4 linked regions of the Coturnix japonica genome follow. The protein of the gene in region 2 interacts with the protein of the main gene of each other region in a pairwise test. Links are inferred from orthologs where the notes say so. Each region holds a gene or a part of one and is shown on either strand. Other genes may lie near its edges. The genes, in order: RNF14, DACH1, FGF12 and C2H1orf35.

Region 1 (4,324 bases), on a different chromosome or scaffold from region 2:
TTTGATGACAGTTAAATAACAGGATGAACAAACACGCAGCACCAAATATAACAGGACATCAGTTCAGTGCCACCATTTTGCCAGCAGGCAAAATATGTACCTGATAATCCAGTTATAACCTGGAGGAATCTGTGTGGCTCAGAGAAAGAATTTCCCTGTGTGTATTCGCCATGATAACCCAGACTGGGTTCAGCACAGCCCTTACCTGACCAGGAGTAGCAACAGAAGAACAGTTGGGTTCTGGACAGTTGAGGCAGTGGACCTGCCCATCCCTGATCTGAATTTCAAAGTAGTCCTTCAGGCAGGCTTTGCAGTACACATGGCTGCACTCGGTGAAGTACATACATTCACTGCCCAGCTTCTCACAGAAGCAAATATTGCACATGTACATCTTACTGTTAAAGCACTTCCTTCTCTGAGCCTGATCAAAGTCCAGGATCTCCCGAATCAGGCTGGACAAAGATTCCACGTCCTGTACAGCTCTCTTATCAATTCCTTCTTCAGCCGCAGCACAGCCCACTGCACCAACACAGTCCTTGGCATCCTGAGGCACCGAAGGCGTCCTGCCCCATGTACTCCCTTGTTGGCGCATTTTGAGCTCGTATGGGGATGAAATATTCAGGTAATTCAACGTTTCTTCCTTCAGAAACTGCATCCAGGCAAACAGGACCACACAGCCTCGGTTTTCTTCCCATAAGTTGTCTAAATGCTCACAAAGAGCGCTGAGCTGGGAAAGAGAAACCAGTGCAGACTTCAGTGAGTCCTGGGGACTCGTGACAGCTCCCATGGTGCAAACCTACACCTCAAATTGTGGAACTGATGGGTAATACATAAAAGACATAGAAATAGCGCCTCGTAAGGCACACACTGAACTGTCAGAAGGGTAACCAAGTAAGAACAGCTAGGAAACAAAAGAGCCAAGAAAAAGAGACGTCACCACGTACATCATAACTGCATCTACTATACTGACATCCACCACAGCTAATGGTGTTAATTATACACTCATGACCACAAAAGCTCTGCTATAATGTTAGAACTGATCTGCAAACCTGTGCTGGGGAGAGCCATTTGCTGCTGAGAGTGAAGGCAGGCGGGGAGGATGACGGGTAGTCTGGTGGGAGCTCAAAATTCAGCACGAGTGGAGGCAGAAAGTGAACGGTGTATTCAAAGCTCTGCGGACTCTCTGCAGAAATGCCTGAGCCAATGGAGACAGGGTGAGACATCACAAAGAGGTGAGAACCAAAGGACGGCACACGCGACCCCTCTGTATGTTTGATAGACTTCTCAGTTTAAAGTGATTCATTCAACACCAAATAATGGTGCAGTAAAGTGCCATGAGGTTGTATGGGGTTAAACCAATACACAGCAGTGCTGTGAAATAGCAGATCCTGCAGGAGCCAAGTGCAAGGAAAACACCCCCAGGGGAATAATAAATATATTGACTTGATTACCCCAAAGAAACACCATGACTGAGCTCTGACTTTGAAGCTCTATGGAGAGGCTGCATCCAAAAGGCTGAGTGCCCTCCCCGACACCAACCCCAGCGATGGACACAAGGAGGGGTCCCACACGGCTCCGTCAGGTAAATATCCCTACAGCTCATGGGAGCAGCTGGGGAGGCCCCAGAAAATCACCTGGTCAAAGTGAACGTAAAGACAAGAGCAGCCATCACAACTCACCGCTCACAACAACTCTGAAGTTCTGGGGCAGTTCCAAACAAATCCTGGTCTCTCCTCCCTGTGCCGACTCCGCTCTCTTAAACTCATCTTCATCGTAGATGCTGGCCAGCGCCAACAGCTCGTCCTCCTGAGCTTCTCTGTCCTCTGAAGACATTTAAATGGTCTGTGGAATTAACACCACTCTACAGCATCAACCGAGTTAACGCGTCCCATCCAAACTACACGTCTGGGTCTGTTTTACACCTCCACAGGAAGAGTCAGGACCCAAAGTAAGCAGTGGGAGCATAGGACAGAGTCAGGCTTTGTCTCCGAGTTGAGAAGTGCTGGGAGCTTTATTTACACCATGGGGAACACCCACAGAACGTGGAGGAGGCAAAAAGCAAACGGTGCCCAGCGGCCGAGAGCAGCTGCGGGAACAGCAGAGAGATAAAGGAAAGCGGCAGCGGGACATGGCACGGCGTCTGGAAGGGAGAACGGAGCGGAAGAGAACGGAACCGAGTTAGTGACAGAACGGCTGGAGCAGCGCTCTATAAAGCGATGAGAGAAGCGCCGCAGGTCTCAGCTGGAAGCTCCGAGCCGCGCTGCGTCCGGCAGGAGGCGCCGCAATTCCCCGCACAGCTGCGGATCCGTCCCCAGCCCGGAGCGCGGCACGCACAAATACACGGAGCGCACTGTCAGCGAGCGGGCACGGAGCGGAGGGTCAAAGTCCCCTCAGCACAGACACACGCCGCACCCGGGCGGGTCCGATCGGCACCGCCCGCACCGAGCAGGAACGGAACCGAAGGCAGCCGGGAAGAGAAGCCGCCCGGACACGCTCCGCACGGCACGGCCGGGATACGAGGCCGCAGTGACGGCGCCAGGCGGAGCCGAGGCCGCACGGGGCGCCCGCAGCACCCGGGTCCCGGCGAAGCCGGCACGGCACGGCACAGTACGGCTCGGCACAGTACGGCACAGTACGGCTCGGCACATTACAGCACAGCACGGCACAGCACAGCACAGCACAGTACGGCACGGCACGGCCCGCTCTTCCGGCACGGCTCCCCCCGTTACCTCAGTCTCGTGGCGGCCCGGCGGACGCGGAACGTGGCGCTGCCGGCACCGCGGCGGACGGGAAGGACGGACCGGGAAGGAGCGGCTGAGGGCGGAGGCCCCGACCCGGCCCGGCCCCGCCGCGCTGCTGACAGCGCAGAGCGCCCGGCTCCGCCCGCCCCGCTCCGCGTCCCCACAGCGCCCCCTGCGGCCGGGAGGAACGCGGGGTCCCTCGGCGGGGCCGGTACCGCCCCGCACCATGCGGTCACTGAGCGCACGCGGCCGGGGAAGGCGGCAGGAGCTGCCCCGCATGGACGGGAGCCACGACAACAGCTGCAAAACAGCGCCAGGTGCAGCTGTGCTGCCCCGCCATCAGCTCCGCCCGAACCAACAGCTGCAGCCGGAGCTCAGCTCCACTCCCACCCCAATAACACACCGTAACCCACCCCAATAACGCACCGTAACCCACCCCAATAACGCACCGTAACCCACCCCAATAACACACCGTAACCCACCCCAATAACACACCCGTAGCCCACCCCAATAACACACCCGTAACCCATCCCCGCCTCCTGGAACAGCGGCAATAAGGAGACCGCGCTCACACCCCCCGACACCATCATTACTTCTCCTCACAATCAACGGCTTCAGACAGTCAGAGTCATCCAGTAGAATCCAGTGCATTTATTTCTTCCAACAGCTGAACTGTGTTTCAACGTCAGCTTTAACACATACAAATTCATGTTTGCAAGTTTAATGACAATCAGTACTAGAAGCAAATTACTGCAGAAAACTCATAGAAAATGAAAACGCTTTGTTCCTGGAAAAGAAGAAAACCAAGCATTCCAAATGAAGGCCTCATGGCAGCAAGCACAGCCCTGCAAGGAGTTGGGAAGGCATCAGTCAGCGCTCAGTGCGGGCAGCTGAAACACAGCCCTCCTTCTATGAGCACCCCCCGAGCTGCAGGCAGCGCTCATGTAACTAACCTGGGCGTCTACTTCATGGTTAGAGCACATCCATGGCTGAGCTGTTAGGAGCGTACAGCTGCTATTCTACAGAGCAGGTAAATGAACCTGATTTGGGGCTATCAGTGATGTGATGATGCCCACTAAGGAATAAAGGTAATGGGAACACTAACCACTAACCTCGTGGCAGTATGAGCTGTTCAGGTGCAGGTAAAGATAAACCTAGAGGTGTGTTAATGCTTAAATGCAGGCTAGACTAAGGTAAGCAGATAGAGGATGCTGCAGGCCCTGAGGAGCAGCCTCCCTCCCCATCCCTGTCTCACCATCCTACCATTAGTGGCATTTCCTGATGAGCACTGCTGTGAACAGCATGGAAAACTGGACTACAGCGTTTGCAGTCTCCCTTCTCAAAACAAGACTGACTCAGCATGAACATGCTTTAACATGGAGACAGCTCGTGGCTGCTTCTGCAGGTGCAGTAACAATATCAGAAGCCTCTAGCTACAATCACTATGGCAAGAAATACTGCTGGTCTGACCGAGCAGTTGGCTACCTAAGCATTCTGACTTCAGGCACTGACCAAACCTCTCTGAAGATTACCAAGAGTGCTGTGGTATTTGCTTGCTTCAATCTGTATTCAGAACATACAAA
Region 2 (3,563 bases):
TGGTAAATGAAAAATCCAGGAAGTGAATAAACAGTTTATTCATCATTAATGCTCACAGTAGCTTATTGAAACACACCTTTCAGGAACTGCCACTGAATATTAGCTATGAAATTCTCATCTTGCCTTGAATGTTACCCATTTGTATAGTTGAAAGGCTCAAATTGTTTTAAATCAGCCTTTAAAAAAAAGTTATCCTAAATGTTATATATTCACAAAAACTGCATTTTGCATGCCTGAGATTAAAGCCTATATTGCTTCAAATTAATTATTCTTCTTTAATTGCAGAAGATAAACAGAAATGACCTATTAATTTAAAGAAAATCTATCGCCACTGAATATATTCTCTCCTATAAAGCAAGATGAACTTGACCTTGTTTGAACTTGTTTTGATGTGGCCCAGATGGTAGGCTACATGCTTGAATAGCATTCTAAAGCTGAGGAAAAACTCATATAGCAAGATCTAGATTTATAGCCTTTTGCAAATTCTTACCTTGTATTGTCCTTTCAGCATCTGTTCTGCCCCCACTGCGGTCAGCTTCTATCTCTGGGGTCAGAGAGTCTAGAAGCATAGAAAGGTAAGACTGACACATATTTCATTTGATTCTTATGGCCCTTTTTACAACCTGTTACTCTAAAGCTGAATTACAATACAATCAACCTTTGTCAGTTTTTTTTAATGTTGAACAATGACTAGAGGCCAGAACAATTTTTTGTTAGACTAGGGAGATTAATGAGCAATAGATTTTTCAAGCATAAAGGTAGGAAGAAAAAGAAGGAGAAAAAAAAAACCAAACCTACGACTTCTCAAGCTAATAATATAAAATAGGCCTAGTTGGGGCATTCTTTCCATGAATTTATTTGCACGTGCTATATAAAGTAACAAAGCAAAAAAGAGAGAGGCATCCCTTGAACAAAAGAAAGAAGAGAGATTTTCCTTTTTTCCCTCTCCCACCATGTTATAGATTTCATACTAACAAGGTTCTTTAGACACTTAAATTGAAAATTAATGACACAGAAGCAAAAGCTGGCTTCTTACCATTTAGGACCCTGAGACTATCTGTTGAAGCTGCTTGTTTCAGTGTCTGTTCTGCTTGCTCCCGTCGTTTAGTCTCAAACTCAAGTGCTTCCTGCAATTTCCTCTTTGCCTTCTTTTCCTTCTTTAACCTTTTCTGAATTATTGCTAGAAGGAAGAAAATCAGTGTACTCAAATTCAGATCTGAAACTTGGCCATGGAATTATGTATTAAGGGTTCCAAGAAACAATACAACTGTAACAGTCCACATAAATTGTGTAATTACACACTATCTATTTAAGCTACCTGAAATTTGCTGGATTCACAGATATTTAAAGAGCCACTTTGCCATGCTGTTTCTTTTAATAAACAGACAAGGATTTGTGAAAGTGTAAGTTGGAAAATCTTGGAACTTATTCCAAATCCTTTATATTAGAAACAAATGGACAGTGCCAGATCCCCAAGCCAAATAATTATTACTTCGCTTTCTCGAATGTAAGGGAAAAGATTAGGAAAGTAATAAATAACAATTCAGTGCAGAAAACCCTTACTTAGAAAATGTTGTTCCTGCTTCTTGTTCACATTCTACAAAGGAAATGGTTGCAGGAATAGGATGTAAATGAATCATATAAGATGATAGGTTTTAAAGAAAATCCATCATGATTTTCTGTTTTATGTTTCCAGACAGTTCCTTCCAAATTAGAACTAAAATAAAACTTGTATGTTCCCTGACTGAAGGAGCATATCAGAGATTATGTCCTCATTGGAAAAGAGTATTGTGAACACTTTTTTTTCCTACTCAGTGAAAGTGATCCACTAAATAAATCATACAAAGTTGTAGATTACACTGTTATCTACTCAACCACACTCCAACCATAGTGTTTTCAGAAACACTCTTGTAAGAGGCTCATTTACTGTAAGATCTACCTGGATAATCCTTTTCTAGAGAATCTGTTATTTTTACACTAACTACAGAAATACCATTACCAAAACCAGATACTAGGTGATACTAGACTTGACTATTAAGTTTTATCTATCTGACTCTTTAACCTTCTCCAAATTAACCACTTGTATCTGGTGTAGTGAGAAATATTGGAAAGGTTCAAAATACGTGCCTATCAGTTCACAGTCTCCATTTTCAATAGTCATAGCTGCAACTTTCACAGAATGCAAATCATTAAATTTTTAAAGAGATCCATCATGATTACTTCTATTTAATGTATATGCTAAGTAAGATCTTTTTGAGCAGTCTTAGATTTATTTATTTTTTCTGTGTTGCTGTACAGAACTGTTTACACACAAAATATGTCTATTACATTAGCGCAAACCCTCTAGTGAGTATAGCTACATCATTAACATGCAAGACTTTGGAATTCTGGCACTTTCTCATTTTGTATAGTGAAACTACTTTCTAGGCATACTATCTTACACTATCAAAGAACAGCTAGTATCTTTACAAATGCTAAACTAAATACATTTTGAATCATTGCACCATTTTAATGTTTTCATTATAAGTACTTTGAAAGTGATTGCAATAAATGAGAAGGAAACATATGTTGCTTTCCAAATTAAAATGTCATCATGGCTGACACATTGTAGATGTGACTACAGCAGTCAGAGCCAGAATTAGCAAGCCCTTACTGTGTAGCTGCTCACAGAAGAGAGATTATCCTACTTTCACTGGTTGATGAGACACATCCTACAGCCTTAGGAATCACTAATTGGAATATTTACAAAGAAGGAAGGAAACAATACAGTAAATAAGCAGCACTGTAGAATACACAGTAGCAGCGGTGGATTTAATGTTCCCCAAAATGACAGTAAATAAATAAATAAATAATAATAATAATAAATCAGATATCCTGCCTGTAGAGATTTTTGACTTGTGTTAACATGACTAGCAAAAGATAGGCATTGATACTGGTTGCCTAATGCTGAAGATCCCATTTGCCTAATGGGCTTTGACCTGCATATGACGGTGTACATATATTTCTGTGCTGCAGCTTTTTAAGGGTATTTCAGCCTTTTCTTACAGAATATTTCTTAAGAGGGATGTAGTATGCTTATCCCATCCTGCTCATGCTTCTATTAAGATGTGAGACTTTCTTTCAGACATGACATTTGGTACTGGTTAAAACTAATGTAAGGCAAAGCCTCCAATGTGCGTTTCAGTCTTTCATTGAAGGATAAATTCCCAAAGTAATCACAAAGTCTTATTTTTTCTCTCCTACTTGGCTTTCTTCATTGTAAAGAATAATATGTTATTTTTACTTTCTTTTGTATGGAAGCATCCACTACCGAAGACAGTCATCCTCATTACATTTGCTTTACTACATTACACTGTTAAGTGCTCATATCCATTCCTCTTTGGTTTGACTCTTTTGCCAGTGCGATATTGTCATTAGAAAGATACATACAAAAGAAGCAGATAATGTATAGTGCAGAAAATAACACTCTCAATTATTTCACTATCCTAACAAAAATAAAGGACTAACACATGCTTTTTCTTGAAATACAACTTAGAGCAAAATGCATTTCACCTAATTTTACC
Region 3 (3,563 bases), on a different chromosome or scaffold from region 2:
AAAGTTATAGGGGAATTAGTCAGTAAAAAATGCCTCACTTATCTTTTATGTGCATTAAAAAGACCACACAAATACAGGGTAATTCTGCTCCACTGAAGCACTGCCAACAGAACAGTCCAGAACCATTTAAATGAAGTCAGTGTATTACAGTGGATTTACACCTTAGCCATAAGCTGAGTATGACCCATCAGAGCACCAGCTACGATCAGTTTTCTGGGTGCAATTCAAAAGCAATTCCATTCAGTCCATCCCATTTCACAAATATGAAACCAGAATATAACCAGCAAACCACCAAACCTCCTCTACAACGTGACCTACATTAAGTAACTACTCAAAGGAATGCAAAGTATATCTTCACAGGTCAGGAAACATCACCACGAAGCTCCGCAGAGACACTTTGAAGTGAATATTGCACGGCTTTGCAGCAGCTCCCACCATTCCTGCTTTTACAGGCTTTCCAATATGGGACTGCCTCCAAGTCCTCCCTCCCGCTTACAAAATCCAGCCACCATGGGTGCAAGTACTTACTGAGCTGTAGAGATAGCCCTCAGCATTCATGGCAACGTACAGGCCTGCCTTCACCCCTTGGATTGCCACCACACGAAGACCCACAGGAATTAGGTTGAAAAGGGCTGCAGAAAGAAAAGCAAACGTTACTGAGACATCAGCTCGTTTGGCTTCTGCTGCTTCTTGCCCTAGAGCCAACCCACCCCAATGCTGAGTTGGAAACAAATCCTGTTCCAGCTATGTGAAGGATCTGCAGCCATAGCTTTGACTCTGAAAGCAGTTTTTAAAACGGACAGGAGATGCAGAACCTGACACAAGCTCCGCTCCTCATTCAGAAGCAGCACTAGATAGGACAGAACATACGACCTTTCAGAACTCAGTTTTACTGCCATCCAAATGACTAAAGCACTGCAGCCACTTCCTGCCAATTATTTCATACTGCTCGATTTCAAACAGCCCCTGGATCTCAGTGAAAGACCTTTCCCTGTAAGCATACCCATTATGTATGGTCGAGCTTTTGAATTTCTAAGGGGCTCAAAAGAGAGGCCTGTCAGCACTGAACACTCAGGCATTAGCATGCCTTTGTTCCCACTGAGATCTGTAGGACAAGAGCACCCAGGTGCTGCAGGACCTTGTGCTTCAGCACTGGACTCTGCCCTGGGGAGCTCAGGGTGAGGAAAAATGAGCACAGGGTCCAGCAGAAGTGTGGGAATGCTTCATTCGAGGTCTCGGGCCCAGAGGAGACCCAGCAGTAGGCAGAGAGGAGAAGAAGAACTGAGTGACAGAGTACAATGAAGCATTCCCATTTTCCAACTGACTGTAAGGATATAATCCTCAAACTGATTCATTTTATAGACCATTTACAAACTTCTACATATGACACTATAGCAAGCATAGCACAAAGAAGTCTTCCCGTAATGGCTACAAGACAACTCAATGCCAACACTGCTCTCCAAGGAGACCTGTTAGACACACACATGCCAGGTAACATATAGATTTAACTCCATCATGAGATATTTCTCAAGAGCCTCCTTTATGTGAATTACTACAGAAGGGATGAGACAAAAGTGGTTGTTGATCCCCTTTTAAAGAGGAAAACATTTCAAGCAAATATGGAGAGAAAAGTAGTAAAAAAGAAGTAAATTGTTGCTTCCTTGCAAACAGCTGTAGAGATCACAAGAGATCTGTTGAACTCCCAGAAACTGCACAGTTTCTTGCAGTTATAAGCACCATCTTCAATGAAATATCAAAATGTGTGCTTAAGCCTTACACGAATCAGTGCCTACGTTTATGCAGTTTCATAGGAAGCAAGCAGAGGGCTTCAATAGATGCATACAAAGTTCAGTGTAAGTATTGGTCTTTGAACAAGAGTCAAGGAGTGCACTACTCTTACAGTTCCAAGAGGAGACAAACATGCCCCAGTGTAGCTACTGGGCACCAAAGAGCTACATTACAACATAATTCTACAGTTGAGAAGCACAGTAACCAAGGCAAGCCTATATTTCAATCAATTTCGCACTACTGGCAAGGTCTAAAACCCTCTGTAATTAACAAGTCTATTTACAAGCAATTTCCCTTCCCTAATTTTTCCCCCACTGAAAAATGGAGCATGCTACTGCAAATAATGAAGCAAGGTGGGCATCATCATTCTTTCTGTACAGCCAATTTATCTTCCATAGAAAACTTGTGACAGACCATTCAAAGCACTCATTAGGCAGCGGGGTGATAACACCCAGAATTAGTGGGGAGAAGTTCCACCTGGAAGTACCTCCATGTCCAAAACTCTCTTTTCTCCACAAGTGCATGCTAAAAGAGCACACCAATAATCCCACTGCACTGTATGACAGTAGGAAAAGCACTGCCAAGCTCTCTTGGTCCCACAGCTCACAATCATGGCTTGCAGGCATGGCAAAGCATCTCCTACAACATGTTGCAGAGTAGGGAAGCAAGTGGGCAGGCAGGCAAGCTGAAGGGCACGCATCTGACAGAGGTGACTGATGGCCAAAGTAGTTTTATGATGCAAACATTTTCCTCTACTGCAAGCATTTGGGCATTAATCAAAACTCTGCAAGTTCTCAGAACAGTTTCAGCAATCAAATCATTAAAAGTCTCTGAATAAGTTAAAGCCTTTTGTTGTCATTCTTTAAATGAATATTTCATCTTGTTTGTTCTGGAACAGATTTCAAAGCTTGTAAGTTTTCTTACTTTTAAGCCTTATTACAACAATGTAAAAACATGGGAGAAAACCTCAAACAAGCATAGAAGTAAATGTCTCATTTTGTGTCAGGGAAAAAAAAATAAAAAATCCCACTTAACTTGAAATACCAGATACAAGGATGGGGAAGAGGACAACCTGTAGTAGTACCCTATCAACTATTATAATGGACAATTCCACTAGGCTCATGGGAGACCTTATTACTCTATACAACTCCCTGAAAGGAGGTAGGAGTGAGGCATGGACCAGCCTCTTCTCATAGGTAACAGCAAGAGGGAATGGCCTCAAGTTGCACCAGGGGAGGTTCAGGTTGAGTCTAAAGAAAAAAATCCTCTCTGAAAGAGTGGTGAGGCGCTGGCACAGACTGCCCAGGGAGGTCAGGAATCACCACCACTGCAGCTGTTCAAGAATTGTGGAGATGGCACTGAGGGACGTGGTTAGCGGTCAGACTGGATGATCTTAGTGGTCTTTTCCAACATTAATGATTCTATAATTCTACCCTATGGGGTCTGGTGTAATAATAAAAAAACAAAACAGAACACTTTCCTTCTGTTGCAAAAGTTAAATTTTCTATGCCATGTGCAAGCACACAGGATGGACATACTCTTTGGTTTTACATGCAGAAGACAGAAAAAAAATTAAGACATTTCATGCTTCTGCTGATATTGTCATGCATTTTACCATCTTCTCCCACAACCAGAGTTATACCTGTCAGCGCTTATTGATTATAGCACTTTTATCACACTCCACTGCTAAACCCTTTGGCCACAAACACATTGATCACTGCAGTTTATCAGACGCATCACACTTTTTAAACTCTGCATGCTTACTTTATTATGGG
Region 4 (4,043 bases), on a different chromosome or scaffold from region 2:
GAGCATCACCCGCCCGGCGCTGCCGCTGGGGGCAGAAATGACACCCATAAAACCCAACATAAACGTTGTGTTTTGTTTTTAAACAGCTGCTCTGAAATGCAGCATTTCAGTGCTCACCTGGAGCTGCCCAAGCCCACCACCCGGTCCATGTCCTCGGCTCGCTCTGTGCTGTCCCGTTTGCAAACCTCAGCCAGGTCCTGTGGGCAAAACATTGAGAGCCCATAGGAACACAGAGCACGGGGGATGTCCTGGCCTATAGGGACAGCGGGGATGGCCTCACCTCCTTGCTGAGGCCTGTGGGCTGCCTCTTCACGTTCTTGTAGCCCCTAGTGACAGAAGCAGGCAGTCACAGCATGGCCCCATTCAGAATGGACACATAAGGATCCTCAAGTCTAAACCCCAGCTCTGCACAGCACCATCCAAACCCCATTTTGGAGTATGAGAGCCCACCATTCCATGCTCAGCATTCCACGCCTACCACTCCATTATACCCAATATTCCATGCCCACCATTCCATGCCCAATGTTCCATGCCCACCATTCCATGCCCATTATTCCATTATGCCCAGTGTTCCATGCCCATTATTCCATCATACCCGCCATTCCATCATGGCCAATGTTCCATCATACCCAATGTTCCATGCCCACCATTCCATCCCCACTATTCCATCATGCCCACCATTCCACGCCCAATGTTCCATGCCCACCATTCCATCATGCTCAGTGTTCAAAGCTCACCATTCCATCATACCCAATGTTCTACGCCCACCATTCCAAGCCTACCATTCCATCATGCCCAATGTTCCATGCCCACCATTTCATGCCCACCATCCCATCATGCCTACCATTCCATGTCCAATGTTCCATGCTCATGATTCCATCGTGCCCAGTGTTCCATGCCCACCATTCCATGCCCATTATTCCAACATGCCCAATGCTCTATGCCCACCATTCCATACCCACTGTTCCATGCCCACTATTCCAAGCCTACCATTCCATCATACTCAATGTTCCATGCCCACCATTCCACACCCACCATTCCATGCCCACCATTCCATCATGCCCAGTGTTCCATACCCACTATTCCATGCCCACCACTCCATCATACTCAATGTTCCATGCCCACCATTCCATGCCCATTATTCCATCATGCCCAATGTTCCACACCTACCATCCCATGCTCACCACTCCATCATACCCAATGTTCCATGCTCACCATTCTATGCCCACCATTCCATCATGCCCACGATTCCATGCCAAGTGTTGCATGCCCATCGTTCCATGCCCATTATTCTATCATGCCCAATGTTCCATGCTCATGACTCCATCATGCCCACTGTTCCATGCCCACTATTCCATGCCCATTATTCTATCATGCCCAATATTCCATGCCTACCATTCCATCATGCCCAATGTTCCATGCCCAGTGTTCCATGCCCACCATTCCAAGCCTACCATTCCATCATGCCCACCATCCCACACCCACCATTCCGTCATGCCCACCGTTCCATGCCCGTGATTCCATCATGCCCAATGTTCCATGCCCGTGATTCCATCATGCCCACTGTTCCATGCCCGTGATTCCATTATGCCTGATGTTCCATGCCCACCACAGTTCAGACTGTCTATTTTTGGGGAGGGTTGTCACAGGGGGTTTGTAGGGAGGTGCTCACAGTGCTGCCATCATGGCCTCCTGCTCAGCCAGGCGCACGGCCGCCAGCTCCTCCTCACGGGACAGCGGGGTGGGCTCCTGCTTGCCCTTGGCGTACCACGTCAGGTCCTTGCCCTTCTGCCAGCGTCCCACCGGTGCCATCAAAGAGTTTCCTGCAGGGATACAACAGCTCCACATTATCCCCAGTCCTTTATCTTCACCCCACACGCAGGGCTGGGGATGAAGGCCTTACCCAGGTAGTTCTCGCGCTGTTTGTCTGTCTTGACGTCTTCCCAGCTGAACTGGTCCTGGCCCCCCCGGACCCCTCCTCGGGATGAGCCGAACATGGTGACGGGGTGCTAAAAGGATGGGCCCTGTTATCATGGCAGAACAGCAGGCTGCCCCTGCAGGGCAATGGGAGGAGGAATGGGGAGGCACAGGGCCACCCCAGCAATGCATTGTGGTGGGATGAGGGAGATGAAGGGTTCCCCTGCAGTGCAATGAGGAAGGAGGGCAGGGAGGTGCCCCCTATTGCAATCCTAAAGCCATAGGAGGTTTTAGGTATCAAGCAGGGGTCACGATGATGCCTTAGTGGTGGGGGCTGGGGGGGGGTTGTAAAGAATAGAGGGGAAGGGTAAAGTATGGGGTGGATTCTACAATGTCTGGAGGTGGAGGAGGGTGCACAGCTTTGGGGAGGGGGGGGGTTACATGATCAGTGGGGTTGGAGTCTGGAGATGGAGGGTTGAATGGGTTTGGGGTAGAGGGGGACTGCAAAGCCTGGACATGAGATCTGTAGTGGGTTGGAGGAAGGCGACTGCATGACCCATTAGGGACACACGGGCTGGCAATGGGCTTGCATAGGTTAGAGAGGGGACACATAGCTTGGCAATGGAGGTCTGAGTGGGTTGGGGGGGGTTACCTGTACTGGCAATGGGTGTCTGTATGAGCTGGGACAGCCCAACGGGGGCTGCACAGCTCGGGGGCACGGGAGGGAGGGGACCGGGGCCGCACACCGGGATCATAGAGACGGTGGAAGGGAAAACGGCCGAACCCGAGACCCCCAAAGCCCGACCCCCCCCAACAACGGCACGCACCTCTCCGGGCCGCGGGGCCCGCGCACTGCAGCCCCTCCCCGGGTGGTACCACCGGGCCCGGAGGGGTGGAGGACGGTACCACCGCAGCGTGGAGGGGGAGAAGAGGAGGGGGGAGGGAAACGGCCCAAAGCAGGCGTAAAATGAGGCAAAACCACCTAAAAACCCTAATAAATCCTTAACAAAATGGCTTTTATTTCTATAGCTGCGTCTGTCAGCTCGGTAAGGAGGCCTTGGTGGGAGGTGACCCCAAATCGGTGCTTTATTTCTTCCAGAATTTCTTGTATTTCTCCAAATCCAGCTCCTCCAATGTCTCCTCCTGCTTGACCCGCAGTTTGCTGGGGAACTGCCGCCTCAGCCGGGCCTTGCGCTCAGCCTCGGGCAACGTGCTGCTATCCAGGGGCAGCTGCAGGGGGAGGGATGGCAGAGGGTGAGGCTGCAGCACCCAAAGCAAAGCACAGCCCTGAGTGCACTCATTGTTGTGTCGAACCTCTTACCATGAGGATCCTTTTGGGCTCCTTGTAGCGGATGTGGATGGTGGAGCCGTCGGTGCGGACCAGCAGCAGCGGGTAGAGGCGGCCGAACACCTGGCGGCGGAGGTGGGTGATGGAGGTGCGGTTGGAGTTGTGGCGGCTGCAGGATGTGTGAAGGCAGCGGGGCTGCAGGGCACTGCAAGAGGGAAAGCAGTCATGGAGCTGTAGCGTTATTTGAGCTGGAAGGGAACTGTAAGGGTTGCAGAATCATAGAATCATTGAATGGCCTGGGTTGAAAAGGCCCATGATGCTCATCCTATTCCAACCCCCTGCTGTGTGCAGGGTCACCAACCAGCAGCCCAGGCTGCCCAGAGCCACATCCAGCCTGGCCTTGAATGCCTGCAGGGATGGGGCATCCACAGCCTCCTTGGGCAACCTGTGCCTCACTGCCCCATTGCCATCTGCACACAGCATTCCAGGTGAGGTCTCACAGCACAAGAGCAGAGCAATACTTGGTATCCAGATAACCAACAAACTGCCCTTGGACGGGTTTTCAAAGAGGCCTTGAAGGGCACATTAATTAGATGGGACACTGGAGAACAGAGTTTCCTGCCTGAATTTGATCTGTGGGAAAGCACCAAGCACCAGGGCCTGGACTACCCCAAAATACATAGTGTCCCCAACTACATAGTGTATCTCCTGAGTGTGTGAGGGTTGATTACCACAGGGCAGGTGATGAACCCGCTCTTCAGACCCCACACTGGGGCTCCCAATGGCCGAGCATCGCTCTCACCTCAGCGCTCTCCACACAGCCGCCATTGAGCTCTAT

The links.
Region 1: the proteins of DACH1 (region 2) and RNF14 interact in binary tests that used the Homo sapiens proteins (3 or more experiments, as listed by UniProt). The two-hybrid records come from large-scale screens. The link is inferred for Coturnix japonica from reciprocal best matches to the Homo sapiens genes DACH1 and RNF14.
Region 3: the proteins of DACH1 (region 2) and FGF12 interact in binary tests that used the Homo sapiens proteins (3 or more experiments, as listed by UniProt). The two-hybrid records come from large-scale screens. The link is inferred for Coturnix japonica from reciprocal best matches to the Homo sapiens genes DACH1 and FGF12.
Region 4: the proteins of DACH1 (region 2) and C2H1orf35 interact in binary tests that used the Homo sapiens proteins (3 or more experiments, as listed by UniProt). The two-hybrid records come from large-scale screens. The link is inferred for Coturnix japonica from reciprocal best matches to the Homo sapiens genes DACH1 and C1orf35.

The regions. Positions count from the first base shown.
Region 1 is NC_029528.1:1,070,909-1,075,232, forward strand, and holds the start of RNF14 (E3 ubiquitin-protein ligase RNF14), read right to left. Parts: upstream 2,845-4,324; 5' UTR 2,730-2,844; intron 1,977-2,729; exon of another isoform or gene 1,843-1,976; 5' UTR 1,834-1,842; coding exon 1,680-1,833; intron 1,196-1,679; coding exon 1,050-1,195; intron 728-1,049; coding exon 206-727; intron 1-205. UniProt on the Homo sapiens protein: E3 ubiquitin-protein ligase that plays a key role in the RNF14-RNF25 translation quality control pathway, a pathway that takes place when a ribosome has stalled during translation, and which promotes ubiquitination and degradation of translation factors on stalled ribosomes.
Region 2 is NC_029516.1:140,894,983-140,898,545, reverse strand, and holds part of DACH1 (dachshund homolog 1), read right to left. Parts: intron 1,181-3,563; coding exon 1,037-1,180; intron 560-1,036; coding exon 491-559; intron 1-490. UniProt on the Homo sapiens protein: Transcription factor that is involved in regulation of organogenesis. Seems to be a regulator of SIX1, SIX6 and probably SIX5.
Region 3 is NC_029524.1:11,608,793-11,612,355, reverse strand, and holds part of FGF12 (fibroblast growth factor 12), read right to left. Parts: intron 633-3,563; coding exon 529-632; intron 1-528. UniProt on the Homo sapiens protein: Involved in nervous system development and function. Involved in the positive regulation of voltage-gated sodium channel activity. Promotes neuronal excitability by elevating the voltage dependence of neuronal sodium channel SCN8A fast inactivation.
Region 4 is NC_029517.1:2,070,614-2,074,656, reverse strand, and holds the start of C2H1orf35 (multiple myeloma tumor-associated protein 2), read right to left. Parts: upstream 2,846-4,043; 5' UTR 2,745-2,845; intron 2,721-2,744; exon of another isoform or gene 2,570-2,720; intron 2,010-2,569; 5' UTR 1,998-2,009; coding exon 1,904-1,997; intron 1,824-1,903; coding exon 1,673-1,823; intron 327-1,672; coding exon 281-326; intron 198-280; coding exon 118-197; intron 26-117; coding exon 1-25. Other genes in the region: MRPL55 (39S ribosomal protein L55, mitochondrial), read right to left, coding at 3,004-3,147, 3,239-3,410, 4,008-4,033.